Mus musculus: one gene and its partners. The protein of the gene in region 5 purifies or fractionates together with the protein of the main gene of each other region. This does not show direct contact. Links are inferred from orthologs where the notes say so. Each region holds a gene or a part of one and is shown on either strand. Other genes may lie near its edges.

Region 1 (2,421 bases), on a different chromosome or scaffold from region 5:
AGATAACTTGCCAGTTGTTTACTAGTGCCTATCCCACCGCTTCTTAGAAGAATTCCTAGTAGAATTTAGGAGGGTATGGCCTCAGTCATAGGAAGTAAATTACCTCTGGACTATACCATGTTGTGGTCACATCTTATAAATCTCAAAGGATCAACATAAGTTGTGATCTATGATCGTAACTGCAGGCATGTTTTGTTGAAATCTAACTCTACCCAGATCTAAGCCCAGTAGCTAAAGAACATGGAAGTACCCAGCAATGAAAAGTAGGTGAAATTCAATATGTGGCATACAATAAAAACAGCCCCACCCACTCCCCAGGGCATAGTAGTCCACACCTATAATTTAAGCATTTGGAAATCAAATTCCTTGGAGGGGAAGAAGTTCAAGGCCATCTCTGGCTACAGAGTGAGGTGGGAGCTGGTCTTGGCCCACACAGGACCCTGTCTCAGGAAAAAATAACAACAATAAACAACAGTAACAGCAGCTACTGTCTCCAGGCCCACACGCTGCCATGCTAGTGCAGCCCCTGGCCTAAGCTGCTTAGATTTGTGCTGCCTCACGGTGCTCCTGCATCCCTACTTGTTCACACTTTGCCATTCGTACTTTGCTGCAAACCAAATAGCTGTCTCTCCCTGGCTTCTGGTGGGGCAAGATTCTTATCTACCTTTTACCCCCTCTATTTTCTTTCTTTGCTCCCCACCCTGTTCTTAATCAAATAAGAAAGTAAACACTGCAGAATGAGAAAAAGAAAAAGTAAAACAAAAGCAGCAGCCCACGTGCAGAGAAACAGGAAGGTGTATAACCCGTGCTGCTGGGACTGTGGGGTGGGGAGGAAAGGAGGAGGAAGCTTGAGAGACTCTTTGGCGATGTGCCTGTGGGTCTAGATCTCGGTAGACAATCGCTTGGGTATTGTCTAAAATCCCAGATATCCAGGCCTCACTCCAGTGAGTATTTGTAAACTGTGGGACCAAGAACAAGAGACAGTAGATTAACTCTCAGTCTTTAGTCTGTTGAGGTTGTTTGTTTGTAAAAGATTGAACTCACAGATCAAAAATCAAGTATTAAAATCAGTTTTCAAAATCACTTATAGTAATTGAAGTTAATTGAATTTAATGTACACAGATAAGTTTTCACAGTGGTTAATTTCTAAAGTACAGAATGGATACATTTAAATTCTTTAATTGTTTTAGGAAATTAAAAATTCAAGGTTTGCCACTGGGGTGCTTTTGTGTAGAAGGAAGGCTTTCTGGCTCAGGTGTGGTGTGCAGAGCTTGGGAGGGCTGTGTGGCTGCGGCTGTGTAGTGATGTCACCTTCTGCATCTCTGTCTCTTTAGGGAGCACAAGCTTTGCTGAACTCCTCTACAGGTTCCGACACCTGAAGATGCCCGTCCGGGCTTTGCTAAGACTGGCTCCTGTGCTGCTTGGGAACCCACAGCCGATGGTCATGTGACCACCTCTGCCGAGGGAAACCCACCCTAGAAATGACTGCGGCACAGAATCCTGATGGCAGCAAAGTGAAGGCAGCATTTCTGTTTTGTAACCAATGGAACTCAGTTGCATACGCCTCACTGTGCTTAAAATTCATGTTGAAAATAAGACAGATAACGCTGGTGCTGTCCACGTGTCATATGATGTATAAAACATCAGTTAAAACTCACATTTTGTAAATAAAGATTTTTGGTTTGTTTTCAAAACTATTGATTGCTTTGGACTTCAGAGAATAGATGGACAGGCTGAGTTTTTAAGCCTTATAACTTTAGTGGTTCAGGTTCTGTACTCAGAAGTGCAAGGCTTAAAAAGCCACATTGTGAAAATGGACTTTGTGCTCTCCGGGAGCGTTTGTGTGTTGTCTGTTACGTAACAGTTATCTTCTCTACAATGAGTCTGTGCTTCCCGTGGTGGATGGATGACAGACAGCGTTACTGCCAGCAGTTTTCTACTGAATGAAGAATTGCTCAGCATGGAGTACTGGACTGTGCCCAAGCCCTGACCTTGGTGCAGCTGTGTAGGCTGCAGCTCTTTGGAGGTAATCGAGGTTAAAGGGCACTCTAAGGGGGAGTCTATTTGGTAGAATCGATGTCCTGCTCAGAAGAGGAAAAAGAGATGATTTTCTCTCTGTACCATGTGAGAACTCATAGCACAACTGCTCACAAACTAAGAAGATTCCCTTGTGAGGAACCAGTCAGACAGTCTTGAGCTTTAGCACCTAGAAGTATTAAGCGATAAACTCCTGATGCTTGTCTGTGGTACTTGGTGTTTGCAGCCTGTGCAGGCTGTGCATGACACCTGCTCAAAATACTGAAAATACAGAATTACCGCCACAGAGGAGTGTTAAGAAATACGGAAATCAGTCTATCTGAACTAAAGGTCTGGAAAGTGCTTTTGCATTCTGAGTTTCAGGACAGCTCATGATGCCCCATG
Region 2 (4,099 bases), on a different chromosome or scaffold from region 5:
AGCCAACGCTAAGTTGCCAGGCAACCCTGCTGAAGCTCACTACTGACCTTGAATGGTGTACGTTTTCCCCGAGTTGGTGACTCCATAGGTGTAGATGAGCCAGTTCTGCCCTTTGAGCACATCCTTCACCATCTCCTTCATGGTCAGATTGAAGAAGGCCACCTGTCCCACTTCTGGCCCAAATATCTAGAAAGAGACCGATCTCTCAGAAGCCACACTGTTTCTGCCCTCCGTCTCCTGGACCGGACGAGTAGCTACAATCCTCCCTGGAGCCTGCTCAAGCAGGCTTTCCTGATGGACTCCAGTTGTTCCTAAATGCTAAAGCCTCCATCGCCCCGGCTAGTTCAGTTCATCCTAATGAAACACTTAAGGAATGCTGTTAAGTGTAGTGCTGTGCACACACACGGGGTTGTACAGTTGGGTGTAAGCATGGGTTTGGAGACGGTAGATCCAAATCTCAGCTCTGTCTTTACCACTGAATAGCGCTATAGCTTCAGCAAAATCCCCGTCACTGCAATATGTGCCATCGTATTCTTACCAGGGAGAAGAGTAATAGTAATAACATCAGTGGTATCTCATGTACATAAAAGTATCCCACACACTGACTAGCACATAAAAAGGTCTTAAAATTACAGATACAGACACGTAAAGAACCCACACTCGAGTAGAAATCTTTTAAAGAAGAAATACATTTCCTAAATGTTCGTACAGCAGTATTGCATACCTGGGAAAAGGTAAATTTGTGAGTGGCCTGACCAACTCCCCTCTCATTACTCTTCAAGGCAAAGGAGTCTTTGGGTGCCTGCAGCACAAGGGTTTCTGTATTCTCAATGCAGACGCAGCCCTGGAAAGGTAGAAAGCAGGGTTTACCGAGTAAAGGAGCACTCCTGGGAGCCTCTCCTACTACAACCTTAAATCCACCTTAAATCCTACCTGATCTTCCTGTCGGTCCAACTCTGAAGTCAAGAATGGTCGAATTCGAAGGTAAACTTTCACCTTCTCTGAGGTGTCCTCCAGTAGAGCCTGTAACAGATTCTCGAGTTAACCTGTAAGCCAGGACAAACAGCCTAGATCCTAGGAAGCATGCTTCTGCTCCCTCATTCCTCAGTAAGCGTTAAGTGGTCCTGTGCAGCCATTCTTTGGTTCCACATCATTCTAGCACACATGAATTCTGTTACCCTTCCCTGTCCAACACTGCCCTGCAATCCTGGCTTTCCTGAGTAAGAATGAGTTGTTAGAGGCTGGGCATGGTGGCACACACCTTTAATTCCAGCACTTGGGAGGCAGAGGCAGGTGAATTTCTGAGTTCAAGGCTAACCTGGTCTACAGAGTGAGTTCCAGGACAGCCAGGGCTACACAGAGAAACCCTGTCTCAAAAAAAAAAAAAAAAAAAAAAAAAAGTTGTTAGAAAATCACCATATACTAGGTATGATGGCATGTGCTTTTAATCTCAACACTCAACACTAGAGAGAGGGGGATCTGAAGTTTAAAGCCAGCCTTGACTATAATACTATCTCGAAATAAATATTTTATTTATTTATTTATTTATTTGGTTTTTTGAGACAGGGTTTCTCTGTACAGCCCTGGCTGTCCTGGAGCTCACTTTGTAGACCAGGCTGGCCTCGAACTCAGAAATCCGCCTGCCTCTGCCTCCTGAGTGCTGGGATTGTGTGTGCCACCACACCCGGCATTTTGGTCTGTCTGTCTGTCTGTCTTTCCTTTTCTCTTCTCATTTCTTTTTTTTTTCCAGAGCAGAGGACGGAACCCAGGGCCTTGCACTTGCTAGGCAAGTGCTCTACCACTGAGCTAAATCCCCAACCCAGTTTTGATTTTTCAAGACAAGGTTTCTCTGTGTAGTGCTAGCTGTCTTGGAACTCATTTGGTAAACCAGGCAGGCCTTAACTCAGAGATCTGCTATTTCTGTCTCCCAAGTGCTGAGATTAAAAGTATGCACCACAATGCCCAGCTTTACCCTTAATTTTTTAACTGATCTTTCATTTTTTCAGGATTACTGGCTTTTGATCTCATACTACCTTGTATAAACAACTGTTAGCTGAAGATACCACTTTCTGCCCCTAAGCCACTCAACTCCTTTACCTGCTTGTCCTCCAGAGAGGCAGAGATGACAGAGCAGTCTGACAACAGGTCCTTTCGGACAACAGATCTCAGATCTGCAGCTGTGGATTCTAATATGGGAGAGTCTACAACATCCTCATCAGAGAGTAAGCCCGCTGGCGGAGAAAGGATCCGGTGAGACATGACAAGCAGAGTCAGTCTATGTCTAAAAAGAGACAAGAGTAGATGGGTAGAATATTAATACACAAAACCTGCAAACCTGTAGGTTAAAAACAGGCACCTGGTAAGGGGTGGGGTGGGATGCCTAGACTATACACCACTATCAGCTAAGGGGAAGAGAATGAGAACTAGTACAGCCGGAGGCTGCATTTCTGAAGGTAAGTAGGCACGGAGAGATACCTAGTTCTAAAGCAGAACGGAAGGCCACGCTCTACAGAGGTGGTCTACAGGTCCGCCAGCGAGCGTGTTTTAGGATCCCAAGGGTACTTTTCCAACCTTATTCCAAAGACCACGAGACCTAGAGAATTATGGAAGACACAGGAGCCTTCTACGGACGCGCAAGCAGCAGCTGATAACCGGGGCTCCAGCCCAACTTCACTCACCCGAAGACTGTCTGCCTCGCCGCTTCTCTGATCCCAGCTTCTACCCACCCGCGCAGCAAGACTCCTGCGGCTGGAGAGCACAACTCCGCCCACGAGGAACAGCTTTGTTCCTCATACAATGTTTTAAACTGCGCGCTGAGCTTGTCCGGCCAATCAAAAAGCAAAGCCTGAAGGACCCAATCAGCAGAAGGGAGGAGGCAGAGCCTACCGGAAGACCGTTTGCTTTTAATGTGGGTCCGGGTTACCAACTGACACTTCCATGTTGTTCATCCTGGTATTCTTGTCGCTTAATTCTAAATCTAGACGTTTCTTTTCTGAGGCTTCAGCCGCAATCCCTTGTCCTTTATTAGTTAAAAAGCAGATTTTTTTTTCCTAGAGGAACTTCGCTTCTATTAGGGCAAACTGACCCACCCACATTACCCACGAGGCACCGCGAACGGATTCGCACTGTGTTTCCCAGAGTTCCCCGCGTCTGTCGCCAACGTTGAAGACGTCGAAGCCAAGATGGCGACCGGGACAGGCAGTGAGTATCGGCCCCCCTTTTATAGTCAAGGCCTTTGTAGAGTTGAGACTAGCATCCCAATTCTCAGGCGTGAAAGGCGTGGGAGGAGTGGGTTGTCGGAGAGCGCAGAGCTCAGAGATCTGCCTTTCCTGTCGCTTTCGGGACCCCCGCCTGGGGTTTAACAGTGTTGGGAGGAGACGGAGGCTGCGGAGAAACAGCCCGGGAAGCCTTTGTGGGAGGGCTAGGCGCTGCCTAGGGTAAAACGGAAAGGCAGAGTGAAGTGGCCAGCGACTCTGCTGTTTATCTAACCGAGCGGTGAGGAGCAGTCGAGGTGATATGTTAGCTGTAGGCTTTTCCTGCCGCAGGGGAAAACGCGTCTCCCGGAGTTCAGCCATTTTTCTGCTTCCCCAGGGAACCGCTCTATATCCGACGGTTAGGGGGCGGGGCCGTATGTAAACAACTTTATGCAAAGTAGTAGGCCGGCAGTCGGAGCCCTTGGCCGCTGGGAATCGTGGGAAATAAGCCTGCGTTCAAACTGAACGTTTTAGAAGTGTTTTTTAAAAATGAGAACCTTATTACCTTTTTTTTTTTTTAACGTAACACTGCCTTTTTTGTTGTTGTTTTTTGGAAGCAGACCACCTTAAAGCCGTGGCATTTAAACAAGATGTTCTAAAAATGTGTATTCAATAAAAAGTACCGTAGCCAGTAATGGTGATATTTCATTGGAACGGTGAAAAAAAAAATCAAGATTTGTTGATAATAATTGATGTTAGTGGTTCACACTTGGGACGAGTTTGGAATGTATTTATTTTGAGACAGGCTACTATCGTGTGACTGATCCTGGCTGGACTGGAACTCATGCAGACCAGGCTAGTCTCTGCATCCTGAGAGCCGGGATTACTACTCCACAGTAGTCCTG
Region 3 (4,167 bases), on a different chromosome or scaffold from region 5:
TGTGCTGGCTCAATCATCATTTAATTCCGACACTGTGGAGTCAGAGGCAAGTGGATCTCTGAGTTCCAGGACGGCCAGGGCTACACAGTGAAGCTGTGAGGTGGGAAAAACAGAGGCAAGCAAAGTACTGCTTCCTCGGTTTTGAACCTGACCCAACCACCATCCTTCTCCAGAGAGCACTGCTTTTCATGTATCACTCCAGAGACACTACTCGCTCGGCAAGTATGTTACAGTGTGTCTTAGTCAGGGTTTCTATTCCTGCACAAACATCATGACCAAGAAGCAAGTTGGGGAGGAAAGGGTTTATTCGGCTTACACTTCCACACTGCGGTTCATCACCAAGGAAGTCAGGACTGGAACTTAAGCAGGTCAGGAAGCAGGAGCTGATGCAGAGGCCATGGAGGGATGTTCTTTACTGGCTTGCTTCCCCTGGCTTGCTCAGCCTGCTCTCTTATAGAACCCAAGACTACCAGCCCAGAGATGGTACCACCCCACAAGAGGCCCCCCCCACTTGATCACTCATTGAGGAAATGCCTTACAGCTGGATCTCATGGAGGCATTTCTTCAACTGAAGCTCCTTTCTCTGTGATAACTCCAGCCTGTGTCAAGTTGACACCCAAAACCAGCCAGTACACAATGACCATTTCCCGGGCAGAGCGATATCTTAGGTAACTGTAAAGGCTAGATCCAGCTGCAAGGCATTTTAGGTAAGAATTCTACCACTGAACTATGTTATCAGTCTTATTTTGTTTTTGGACAGTGTGTACACTGTCTCTTCAACAAATATCAAAACATAAAGGATGAAGGTCAGAACTTATCTGCTTCCTGTAGCTAAGAACTTGCCAATCTAACCTAACGTGGAAAAGCATGGGTTAGCCCAATTCAGTCTAACTAGAGGAGGACGCTCTATAGCGTTCAAACAGTGCTAGAACGTTGTCCCGACCCAAGAGTAAAGATTAGGGCATTATCCCCAACACAGGAAACCATTTGCTATGAAGCACCACTAAGATTCTGGGGAAAAGTCCTCAACATCAACACAGAAGGCTGACAGAGACCAGTGTCCCTCGTGTCACACTAAGAAGCTGGTGACCGGGCTGGTGAGATGGCTCAGTGGGTAAGAGCACCCGACTGCTCTTCCGAAGGTCCGAAGTTCAAATCCCAGCAACCACATGGTGGCTCACAACCACCCGTAATGAGATCTGATGCCCTCTTCTGGAGTGTCTGAAGACAGTTACAGTGTACTTACATATAATAAATAAAAATAAATAAATAAATAAAATCTTTAAAAAAAAAAAAAAAAAGAAGCTGGTGACCAAATGATGTGTGTGCCTAGTCGGTCCAAAGCACACTAATGAATTGGAGTGGGGGGTAGTGACTGAATTACAGGCCCCTCACAGCCCTTTGGCTGTCTCACTAGACTAGCCTCAGCCACGCCAAATGCAAATGTCTGCACGGAGTAGAAGGCTACTGTAATGTTCTTTGGAAGCACTAGACAGTGGTGGACTGAAATACAAACTATCTCCAATCATAGACAGATCCACTCGCTCCTCTATGTTCTCCAGGGTGTGATCTTGGTCGACCTACTGGACCTCCCTGTAATAAACACATTTCCTTAGCATTTTTTTTTGTTTTGTTTTGTTTTGAGACAAGGTTTCTCTGTGTAGCCCTGGCTGTCCTGGAACTCACTCTGTACACCAGGCTGGCCTCGAACTCAGAAATCCGCCTGCCTCTGCCTCCCAAGTGCTGGGACTAAAGGCATGCGCCACCACTGCCCGGCTCAGGCAGCGGTTCTAAAGTGAAGCCACCGGTGCCAATGCTTGCTCTGAGAGCGCTCGGGCAGGAGGAGAAATTAGAGAAAAGGAATGACTAGGTTGACTTGCGGAGCCACGTCGAAGAGTGAGCAATGATGGGGAAATTTTTAAGCAAGGCCCTTACAGGCAATTCAAGCCTACAACTGTCCCGGGCTTCCTTTGAGACGCAGTAAACCCGGCTAGATAGAACTGTCACTCCATCGGTAGTGTTTTGCCTAGCACGCCTGAAATCCCTGGTTCGATCCCCAAGGTCCACACGCACACTGAGAGCATGGTGGGGGTGTAAAACACCAGTTAACCCCCCCCCCCCAGCTTCTGGGAGGCGTAGGCAGGAGGGTAAGAAGGTCAAGGTCTTCCTTGACTACACACACACACACACACAGCCTGGGGCAGGCTAGCCTGGGCTACAGGAGACCCCTGTTTGTAAACACAACCACACAAAACCAGTCACTCCCCGGCGGCAATGTCGGGCCTTACATTAGACTGCCAGGGTTCCTTTTAAATTAAAAAAAGGCGCCACCGCGCCCGCCACCGATGCTCTCAGTCTCGGAAAGTGGGGTCCCCTCCCTCCGCTGGGGTGGCACCCCCACGGCTGACACTCGGTGGACTGGGTCCCCGGGACTCAGGGGACTTCGTCGTTCTGGAAGGAGCCAGAACTCCGAGGCCACCGAGGCCGGATCCCGCGCAGCCCTCCGCGGGACCACACCGTCCCCCCGCCACCGCCAACCCCGGCTCCCGGGACCGCCACCTCCCCGCCTCTCCAACTCACGGGTTGTTGTTACTCATGGTGAGCAGCAGGCTGCTGAGGAGCCGCACGTTGGAGTGCAGTCCCGCAGCCGCCATGTCCCGCACGTGGTCTATCACACTCATCCTGCCCGGCAACACCGTGGCCCCCGGCGACACCGCGGCACCGGCAGCGGCGGACAGAACTCCCGGGAACCGAGAGCAGAGGCTCGGGGAAAGTTCCAAAATGGAGACGGCGCCGGGGTCCTTCCGGTCCAGACGCGGCTCCGCCCCCCGAAGATGGAGGTAGCCACGGACGTGCCTGAGTAAAAAGAAGCAGCGGCGAAAGGGTTTTCTCCATCATCATCATCTTCAAAGCCATCCCAGTAGGAATCGTAGTTTTGCTGCGCTAAAGACAGCCTGAGAGGAATGGATGCCTCGCGGAGGCTAGTAACAATGCACAGGAGTTCATCCTAAACACAGCGGAGGCGGAAAACGGACAGTTAAAAATTGAATTTTCGAATCAGGCGCGCAAGGGCTGGCTTTCTCCAACTACGGGAGCGTCCTAGGCGAAGGTGGCACGCCCCCCTCTCCTGGCGACTCTTGTCCCTGTCACTGGGAATAGATTCCTTGGTGCAAGGCATGGCTTGCCCGTCCAAGTGACCCGCTAGATCCAAGTGCGAAGAAAAGATAGTTACAGGGATGAGCTGGATCTCTGATCGCCCCACTGTCAACATCTCAAGCCTTTACGAACTCGTTACTGCATTGCATATTCACAAATCGCAATGCTGAAGCCATTTCCATAGAGGGAGAGAGCCGCCTCAGAAATTAAAACTGCATGCTCTTGCAGGGGAATTCGGTTCCTAGCACCTACCTGGTGGCTCACAACAGTCTGAAAGGCCAGCTCCAGGGCATCCGACTCCTTCCTCTGGCGTCTATGGGCACATACATGCATGTGGTGCACAGACATACACACTCAGGCATGCAGATACTCATAAAAATACATTGAAACAAACAAACAAACAAACAACAACAACTTGGATCTGGAGAGATGGCTCAGTGGTTAAGAGCACCGACTGCTATACCAGAGATCCTGAGTTCAATTCTCAGCAACCGCATGGTTGCTCAAAACCACATTTAATGGGATCTGATGCCCTCTTCTGGTGTGTCTGAAGAGAGCAATGGTGTACTCATATTCAATAAATAAATAACAACGTTGGCAGGGGGTGGTTTAATTCTAGCACTTGGGAGTTGGGCCGATCTCTGTGAGTTAAAGATTAGCCTGGTTTATAGGGTGAGTTCCAGGACAGCTAGGGATACGCAGAGAAACCCTGTTTGAAAACGCTTAAAACAAACAAACAAACAAACAAACAAATAAGTACTTTGAATTGTCAGTCCTTCTTTGCCGACAAGGAAACCAAAACTTTCAAATGTTGAAGCTGGGCAGCCTGAGAGTAAAACCACTTATCAGCAAGGCTAGTTTTGTAAATTCAATCCCCTGTGTGGGAGGAGAGACCTGACTCCTTCACGTTGTCCTCTGAGACAGCCGCATGTGCCTCTCACTCGCACAAAATAAATAACTACATGCAATTAAAATGTAAACAACTGAAGCTGTTTGCTTAAATTTGAGATT
Region 4 (3,515 bases), on a different chromosome or scaffold from region 5:
AACCTTGAGTCCCAGGAAAGACTTCGCAGTTGTCCCTTCAGCACAGAGTAGCCATGGATATTAATCCCAGTCACTCTCCTCTCTGAACCCACTATCCTTTAAAGAGAATTCTGCTCAGTGATGGTGTGACACCCTAAACAGAGAGTCCCACCCTCTGTTAATTTACAGTGGTCTGGGCTGAACAAGGGGAGCAGGAGCTATGCACAGCCGCCAAGCATGCCCTTAGGCACCTATATCATCCATGGCTTTTGCTAACCCTACCAGCTCGAGGAGATAGCAGAGGTTAGAAAGAAAAGTATAAACTCTTCAGAAACAAGTCAGTACCACGGCAGGCTGTTCTTTGCCCAGAGCGCCAAGCAAGATAAACCACCACCTTTGCACTTCAGCTGTGACTGGTCCTTTTTGGTTTTAAGTCAACAATAGGGTATTCCTGACATTCGCTATTACCTGAGCAGCTGGGCTGTGACCCGCACGGTTCCTGCCACATGGGAACTGACATTTTAAGCAGGAACAGGATCAACTCCAGCCTGAAGCTTTATGCAAGAGCTTTGGTCCACTCAGGTACTTCTTTCTTTTACCTTCCAGGAGGGTGACAGCGGCTTGTCACTCAGCCAGCCGTGCCTCCGTGGCACTCTGATTGGTCAGGACAGGAACAAAACCATTCTCTGCTGCTGCCACCCACTCTCCAGGGGAGCTAGAGCCAATCGCAGTGCCAAAGCGTTGCCATGTACAGACAGGGGACCTGGCTGACCTGCACCTGCTCTGATAGCAAAGAGCAAAGCCCCAGGGACACGGTCTGCTGGCATCCTAGCCGTTATCCAACCTCTCCCTGACGCAGAGCCCAGCTGTCCCCAGGCTGCCTGCTCAGTCACCTTGCTCACCCGGGCAGCCCGCCTGGCTCCTGACCTCACCAGTGTGCTGAAACCCCAATCTTTCCCAAGCTCCACCCTCACTCTGTCTCCTGCACTTAGCATTCAGTCCCTGTGTCACAGAAAACTCTAGGCAGGAGCTCCCGGGGCGCCCCGCCTCCTGCCTCTGAGGTACCTGGAGGTAATGTGCCTCCTCCTGGAAAGTCTTCTCCAGCTGCTCCACTCTGGCTTGCTGCTGAGCCTGCTCTGCATACAGCTGAGACTGTAAGTTTCGCAGCTCCTTCTCCATCCTCACGATCTTCTTTGAGCTCCCCTTCCGAGTCTGTCTCTTGACGTTTAGGACAGCTATCTGCTTCTCCTGCATCTGTGTTTTCAGCTTCAGCATCCTGGACATGGTCACCTTAAACAGTTCTAAGCTGTTCTGAGATGCTGATGGTCTGCAGGCCTTCTGCTTCTTAGGACAACTGAGTTCCAGGACCTTTGGAAGAGCAGAGCAAGCATGAGGCCCGGCGGCCCTCTCACTCGCCTTCAGAGAAGTCAGCCCAGGACACAAGCATCCCAAGGACTGACTCGATGCGTCACCTTTGCCATGCAACTTCTCTGGCTCAATGGGTTTACTGGCGACATTAGCCAGTGGGCATCTGAGATCTGAGGAGCCCTCGGCTGGAAGATTCTCTAACCCAGGCGAACTGAATTTCCTCTTAGTTCTCGAGCCTTTATGTTTTTCCATTCTCTGGTCATTCTTCGGGGCAAGGCAGGGAGCCAGACTCTCCCAGTCTTCTTCAATGACTTCGTATTCATACTCCGCCGTCTCCCTGCTTTCCAGCGGCACACCGAGCTGGATATGGTCTCCCTTACGGATGCAATAACCCTGTAATGGTGCCAGACGTTCTCTGTTCAGCCAAACACCATTCAGACTCTGGGGAAAAAGAAAGAAAAACAAAAATAAGCTCACGATTTCCCTCCTCTTAATGGAATCTCTCTCTTGCTGCTGCAAAACCTTCTGCCTTTTCAGAAGGAAAACCCTTGAGAACAAACAGAAATGAAAGGGTCGTAAAGCACCATCTCTGGAAAGAGCACTGCGCACACAGTGCTCGCTCTGCCTTCCTACCTATGTCACCTTCATGCCTCCACAGAGAACGCCTGTCTAACAGGCCAAACTCTCCTTTCTAAAACCCAGCGACACACTCAACACTCAAACTCAATCCCTCCTATTGACCTAAACTCCGGCAATGCGTCAAGACTGGAGAAAACGCTCCTAGGGAGGGAAGCAGTGGCACAGCCAACCATGGCCAGGCTCAGGCAGGAGCCACCCACGCTCTGCACGCTGGCCCTTGACAGTGTACAAATGCTAAGAGGACAGTGCAGGACTCTGTACTGGGGAGTCTGATCCAAGGAACACCAGTAGCCGTGTACCTGAGCTATAGTGTAGCAAGCAGAGCTGGGGCTCTCCCTTGGGCTCACAGACCAAATTCAATACTTGGCTCTATTAGCTACATACTTTTAGCAACTCCTCTGTGTCTCAGTTTTGTCTATACAATGAGAAGCCTTGTAAAATGCACAGCACAGCACTCTAATACCGTAAGTCTCAGCTCCCAAACCTCTTGTCTCAGTGAAATGACATTGTTGAGAGCATGGATGGGGAGAGGCTGAGCTCTGGGGTAGCATAGGAAGACTCGGTTCAATCCCAACACTGGAGTCTTGGATTAGACTGCCTGCGTTGGCAATGTGTCCACCATTTAAGAGCTGAATGACACTGGGCAGACTTCCTGTTTGCTTTTTGGGTTGGGTCCCGTGTCTATCAGATGATAATCCTTCTGGTGACCCCTGAGTGAAGTCAGCATGTGGTGCCTTAGAAAACCACCTGGCATAACTGATCTATCACTTTACCTCTGTGCTCACCAGCCTACCAGCTATGAACAGGAATGGCCGCCATAGACTCATTGTGTGTTTGTATGCTTGGATACGGAGTGGAACTATTAGGAGGTGTGGCCCTGTTGTTGGAAGTGTCACTAGGAAGGTGGGCTTTGAGGTCTCCTACACTACAGCTGCATTCAGTGTGACAAGTATCTCCCTACTGCCTGTGGATCAAGATGTAGACCTCTTGGCTCCTGCCTGCCCCCATGCTCCCCACCACAATGACAATAGACTGTAAGCCAGTCCCAATTAAGTATTTTCCTTTATAAGAGTCGCTGTGGCCAGGCGTGGGCATCTAACCACTGTTTAAGCCGGGCGTGGTGACACACGCCTTTAATCCCAGCACTCGGAAGGTAGAGGCAGGCGGATTTCTGAGTTCAAGGCCAGCCTGGTCTACAGAGTGAGTTTCCAGGACAGCCAGGGCTACACAGAGAAACCCTGTCTCGAAAAAAAAAAAAAAAAGAGTCGTTGTGGTCATGGTGTCTGTTCACAGCAATGAAAACCCCAAGTAAGACAGCAAGTAAAGACACCAAGGACAAAATAGATATAAAAACAGCTTTTAGCAGCTATTTGTGAAAAACACAGGACAAGGACACAGCTAAGAATGGAATCCAACAGCACAGCAAAGGGTGCCATGTGGAGGCAGGTTAGCTAAATGGAGTGACAAGCCCTGAGACAGACTGTAGAGCTAACCAGATATTGGGAGGACTCTAACTCTGGGAAGGGCTA
Region 5 (4,073 bases):
ATGAGGAACTCAGAAATCCCTCACAGCTGGGCGAGGCGGAGCACGCCTTTAATTCTAGCACTCGGGAGGCAGAGGCAGGCAGATTTCTGAGTTCAAGGCCAGCCTGGTCTACAAAGTGAGTTCCAGGACAGTCAGGGCTATACAGAGAAACCCTGTCTCGAAATACCAAAAAAAAAAAAAAAAAAAAAAAAAAGAAATCCCTCACAAGCTAACAAAAGAACAAAAGTATCTTTAAAAACATACCATAGACAGTAACTGTAAGAAATCAGTTCAATACAATGTGAACTCATGCAACAACATAAAAACAAATTAAGGTAGGAATAACTCAGCTCATACTTACCCTTCCTCTTTTGCAGTTTTGTCACACTCAATATCAAACTGCCATCTTTCAAGGACTTCACCACTTTCAATATTTGAGATGACCACCACCAGTTTCTGAACTGAGCACTTGTACAGCCACTCTGCAACACACAAGGCAGCGCTCAGACTCTAGCCTATGACAGAGACTCTCTTCCAAAGACCCACTCTCGGCCTTACAGAACTCTCACAATTGAACTTCCTTTCTTGCATAAGGAAGACAATTCTCCACTAATAATTTAGCTGAGTTTTAAATTCTCCATATTACTAATAGGCAGAAGGCAGAGCATCAGAACCGTGAACCTGTACTTTCTCTGCAATTCCCAGTGAGAGCATATGACATATACTCATCTAACCACCGCCAGTCACATCTGTGGTGGCTGGTCACAACAGAGACACTATAAGAGCATAAAAAATCGGACTACTCTGGTAGGTGAGGGAAAGATTAGTTTTTACACTAACTGTACAAAGGAGAGGCAAATACAGGTTTTAAATGGGAAGGGCATGCATGCACGCCTGCACACACACACACACACACACACACACACACATGTATATACATGCATACATGGGCAGACTAATTGAAAAGTAAATTCTTTTCAATAAAGTAAATAAATTACATAATTATGAAAAGTCAAGATGCTATGTCATATAAAATCTTACAAGTTAAATTAATGAAACTGTACTTTTAAGAATCAGGAAAGCCACAACTGTGTTTTGGACAGAGTGACCAATTAGCCTTGTGTTTCTAAACTATCATCCTTGCAAGTAAGTGAGCTGCAGGGGGTAAAAGGATCCACAGATACCAGAATTCAAAGCAGATCTTATGCTTAAAAGCCCTGCCGTTTTTGCCTGTGAATTCATATCCAACCTGCACAAGTGTTGATGAATACTCTACTATGGATACAAATAGCAAGGCATGTTTAGAAGTCTGGCCTTAAACTGGACACAGTGGCAAATGCCTTTAGTCCCAGAACTTGGGAGTAGAGCCAGGCTGATCTTTGTGAGTTCAACGATAGCCGGGTCTACATAGCATGTTCAAGGACAGCCAGAGCTACATAAAGAGACCTGTCTCAAAAGCAAAGCAAAACAAAACGGCCTTAAAGACAGATGCCAAGCTAACCATGTTCAGGTGGCCACCAAAAGGCCATTTTAATACTGAAGTTAACAAAAAAAGCAATAAACACTGTTAATGAATTTACAATTAAAACAAACTACAACACCCTTTCACGTACAATAAAACTCAAAGAGAAAAAAAGGCAGTTGCAATGCTTTTAGAATTGGTATTTTGTATGATTTCATTGGGAGCTACAAAGCAAAACACAGAATGGCGAAATCCTTTTAATCGGGTAAAATTTCCAATTTGCTGCAACTGGTTAACCTACAAAACCCACTCTTAAAGCAGCTTAAAGATTCCTAACATCAAGACATTCAGCCTACTTAAAAAGAGGTGGGGATTCCCTCCATTGCTTGCTTCCTCCCAGTTGAGAATGACATTTGAGAAGGCATGTTGCTTTAAGTTACTTGGGACACAAACCTGTAAGATCACACACTGAAAACGTGATTACCTTTTAGCTGTTCCACCACATTATTGAGATACTTTATGAGCTCGGGGTCAGTAGTTGTAAGCAAGGTGAGTCCATATTTCTGCACTCTAGTAAAGGTTTCCGACGGATAAATGCCACGCTGATACAAAATGCTGTTGATGCCAAATGCTGAAAACGAAAGAAATAAAGCCGTAACCGTGTAATAACGTTTAAGTCTCCCAGAAAGCAGAGTAGGCACAAAAAGACACGGAAAACCTTTAACCCAGCAATGTCCAACTTCGCAGGTTTGCTAAGTGTAAATACAGAGCATGTGGTCAGAGGATGTCAACACAGACCCCAGCTTTCAGAGAGCGAGTAAGATGATGACCCAGGTCAGCCCCGTTAGGTTCCAGGAGGCCCAGGCCTGCGCTGGGTGGTGCAGCGTTCCCCGCCCCCGGGAGGATCCGTGGTTCCGTCCTAGCGCGCGTCCTAAGGCCCGGCTCAGCCTCAGCTCTCTCTGGCGGCGGGGGCTGCGCTCAGCACTCACAGAAAAACTCGGCCACGATTTCTGCGCTCCCACGCAGGGTGATGCCTTGCTCTCGGGCGAGCTGCTGTGCCATCACTAGATCGAACGGAGAACACTACCAACCTCACCGCAGACGGCGCCCTAATGGCTTCTAAGCTATTCCCCGCCACCCGGTTCAAAAATAACTACGCAGCCCGCCGGTTGCTCGGTGCGCAGGCGTAATGAGCCCTAAGCCCCACCTACGTCGCCAGTTTCCGGCTGGCTTTGTAACTCCGAATCCCTCCCTAAGGCCGCCTCAGGCTTCCGTTTTGTTCCCTAAGCCCCTCCCACATTAGAGAGCCGGGTCTCTTCAACATTCCGCTCCACATCGGCTCTTCCGCCCTATGCCCAGTTGCACCACGGGTTAAAGCCCCGCCCAAAGCGACTTGTATCCGGCCCTGGCTCCGCCCTCGCTGGCTGACCGAATGAGCAAGCGCAGAGTGGTTGGGGCGTCTTGTTCCAGGTCCTGGTGACCTACAAGGTCCGTACTGTGCAGGACCTCGGATGAGGTGACCTAGAAGCGGCCCAGAGATGGTCCTGAGATTACCTGCCTGTCAAACCCGTGGTCTGAGCATCCCTGAAGCATGGTCTCAGCTTCGAGGATAGTTTCAAGTCTGGGAGAACCTGGTTTTTGGTTTTGTTAAATATGATGAAGGGAACTAGGTGGGACAGAAGCTTAATGATGCTTGTCACCAAGTAGAGAAGCGAACCCCTGCAAATTGTGTACACACACACACACTAATAATCATTTAGTAATGTCTTTATTTTTCTATACTACATAGATTTTATAAGTCCACAAAGGATTTAAATGATAGAGACACTTGATTTCCTTTTTTTTTTTTTTTTTTTTTTTTTTTTTGCAATTAGCTTGCTTTTAAGTTTTTAGTCATATGTACTTTCTTTTTGATCGTTTAAGGCCTATACCAGAGCATGTACGATTACATATGGGATTCATGCTACAGTTTTAATATTGTACAGTAGTATTGTGTCCAGGAGATGGCACATCTTCCAACTATGCTAAATGGTTCTAACTCTGGTACTCAGACTGCATTTTGAAACCAGTTGACTATTAGAGATACTATCATATGCAGGTTTAAGAAGATGGCTCAGTGGGTAAGAGTGACTGCTGTTCCGAAGGTCCTGAGTTCAAATTCCAGCAATCACATGGTGGCTCACAACCATCTGTAATGAGATCTGACGCCCTCTTCTGGTGTGTCTGAAGACAGCTACAGTGTACTTATATATAATAATAATAATAATAATAATAATAATAATAATAATAAATAAATCTTTGAAGAAGAAGAAGAAAGAACAAGGAGAAGAAAGAAGAAGGTTTAGAGCCTGAACTAAACAGATGCCAGGGAAGTTGTATAAACAATACATCAGAGAAAGAAACTGTGACATATGAGGAGGAAAGAAATGGTGGTATAGATAAAAGTGAGGTACTAGCTCTTTCTTACCAAACGGTGGTTGGACTTAATCTAATTTATTTCAGAAACATTAAAAGATCTGGAATCTTTGATGGTTGATTTCTTTCCTATTTCCTTTTGACTGCGTGGTTTAACATTACCTCTCTCCCCATTTATTAAAAGCAATACTATAAAATACTTGAAAAATTCTCAGTT

The links.
Region 1: the proteins of Mad2l1 (region 5) and Anapc1 purify together in Homo sapiens (affinity purification with mass spectrometry; 3 studies listed by BioGRID and IntAct, with this or other methods). This does not show direct contact. The link is inferred for Mus musculus from reciprocal best matches to the Homo sapiens genes MAD2L1 and ANAPC1.
Region 2: the proteins of Mad2l1 (region 5) and Kif20a purify together in Homo sapiens (affinity purification with mass spectrometry; 4 studies listed by BioGRID and IntAct, with this or other methods). This does not show direct contact. The link is inferred for Mus musculus from reciprocal best matches to the Homo sapiens genes MAD2L1 and KIF20A.
Region 3: the proteins of Mad2l1 (region 5) and Anapc7 purify together in Homo sapiens (affinity purification with mass spectrometry; 3 studies listed by BioGRID and IntAct, with this or other methods). This does not show direct contact. The link is inferred for Mus musculus from reciprocal best matches to the Homo sapiens genes MAD2L1 and ANAPC7.
Region 4: the proteins of Mad2l1 (region 5) and Rnf8 purify together in Homo sapiens (co-immunoprecipitation; 3 studies listed by BioGRID and IntAct, with this or other methods). This does not show direct contact. The link is inferred for Mus musculus from reciprocal best matches to the Homo sapiens genes MAD2L1 and RNF8.

What each region holds. Positions count from the first base shown.
Region 1 is NC_000068.7:128,611,977-128,614,397, reverse strand, and holds part of Anapc1 (anaphase-promoting complex subunit 1), read left to right. Parts: intron 1-1,334; coding exon 1,335-1,450; 3' UTR 1,451-2,421. UniProt on the Homo sapiens protein: Component of the anaphase promoting complex/cyclosome (APC/C), a cell cycle-regulated E3 ubiquitin ligase that controls progression through mitosis and the G1 phase of the cell cycle.
Region 2 is NC_000084.6:34,623,640-34,627,738, reverse strand, and holds the start of Kif20a (kinesin-like protein KIF20A), read right to left. Parts: upstream 2,804-4,099; 5' UTR 2,679-2,803; exon of another isoform or gene 2,476-2,678; intron 2,282-2,475; 5' UTR 2,260-2,281; coding exon 2,098-2,259; intron 1,024-2,097; coding exon 934-1,023; intron 845-933; coding exon 725-844; intron 187-724; coding exon 48-186; intron 1-47. Other genes in the region: Brd8 (bromodomain-containing protein 8), read left to right, coding at 3,183-3,201. UniProt on the Homo sapiens protein: Mitotic kinesin required for chromosome passenger complex (CPC)-mediated cytokinesis. Following phosphorylation by PLK1, involved in recruitment of PLK1 to the central spindle. Interacts with guanosine triphosphate (GTP)-bound forms of RAB6A and RAB6B.
Region 3 is NC_000071.6:122,421,092-122,425,258, reverse strand, and holds the start of Anapc7 (anaphase-promoting complex subunit 7), read right to left. Parts: upstream 2,816-4,167; 5' UTR 2,682-2,815; coding exon 2,581-2,681; intron 1-2,580. UniProt on the Homo sapiens protein: Component of the anaphase promoting complex/cyclosome (APC/C), a cell cycle-regulated E3 ubiquitin ligase that controls progression through mitosis and the G1 phase of the cell cycle.
Region 4 is NC_000083.6:29,624,779-29,628,293, reverse strand, and holds part of Rnf8 (E3 ubiquitin-protein ligase RNF8), read right to left. Parts: intron 1,789-3,515; coding exon 1,045-1,788; intron 1-1,044. UniProt on the Homo sapiens protein: E3 ubiquitin-protein ligase that plays a key role in DNA damage signaling via 2 distinct roles: by mediating the 'Lys-63'-linked ubiquitination of histones H2A and H2AX and promoting the recruitment of DNA repair proteins at double-strand breaks (DSBs) sites, and by catalyzing 'Lys-48'-linked ubiquitination to remove target proteins from DNA damage sites.
Region 5 is NC_000072.6:66,533,957-66,538,029, reverse strand, and holds the start of Mad2l1 (mitotic spindle assembly checkpoint protein MAD2A), read right to left. Parts: upstream 2,810-4,073; 5' UTR 2,504-2,809; coding exon 2,431-2,503; intron 2,073-2,430; coding exon 1,926-2,072; intron 462-1,925; coding exon 341-461; intron 1-340. UniProt on the Homo sapiens protein: Component of the spindle-assembly checkpoint that prevents the onset of anaphase until all chromosomes are properly aligned at the metaphase plate.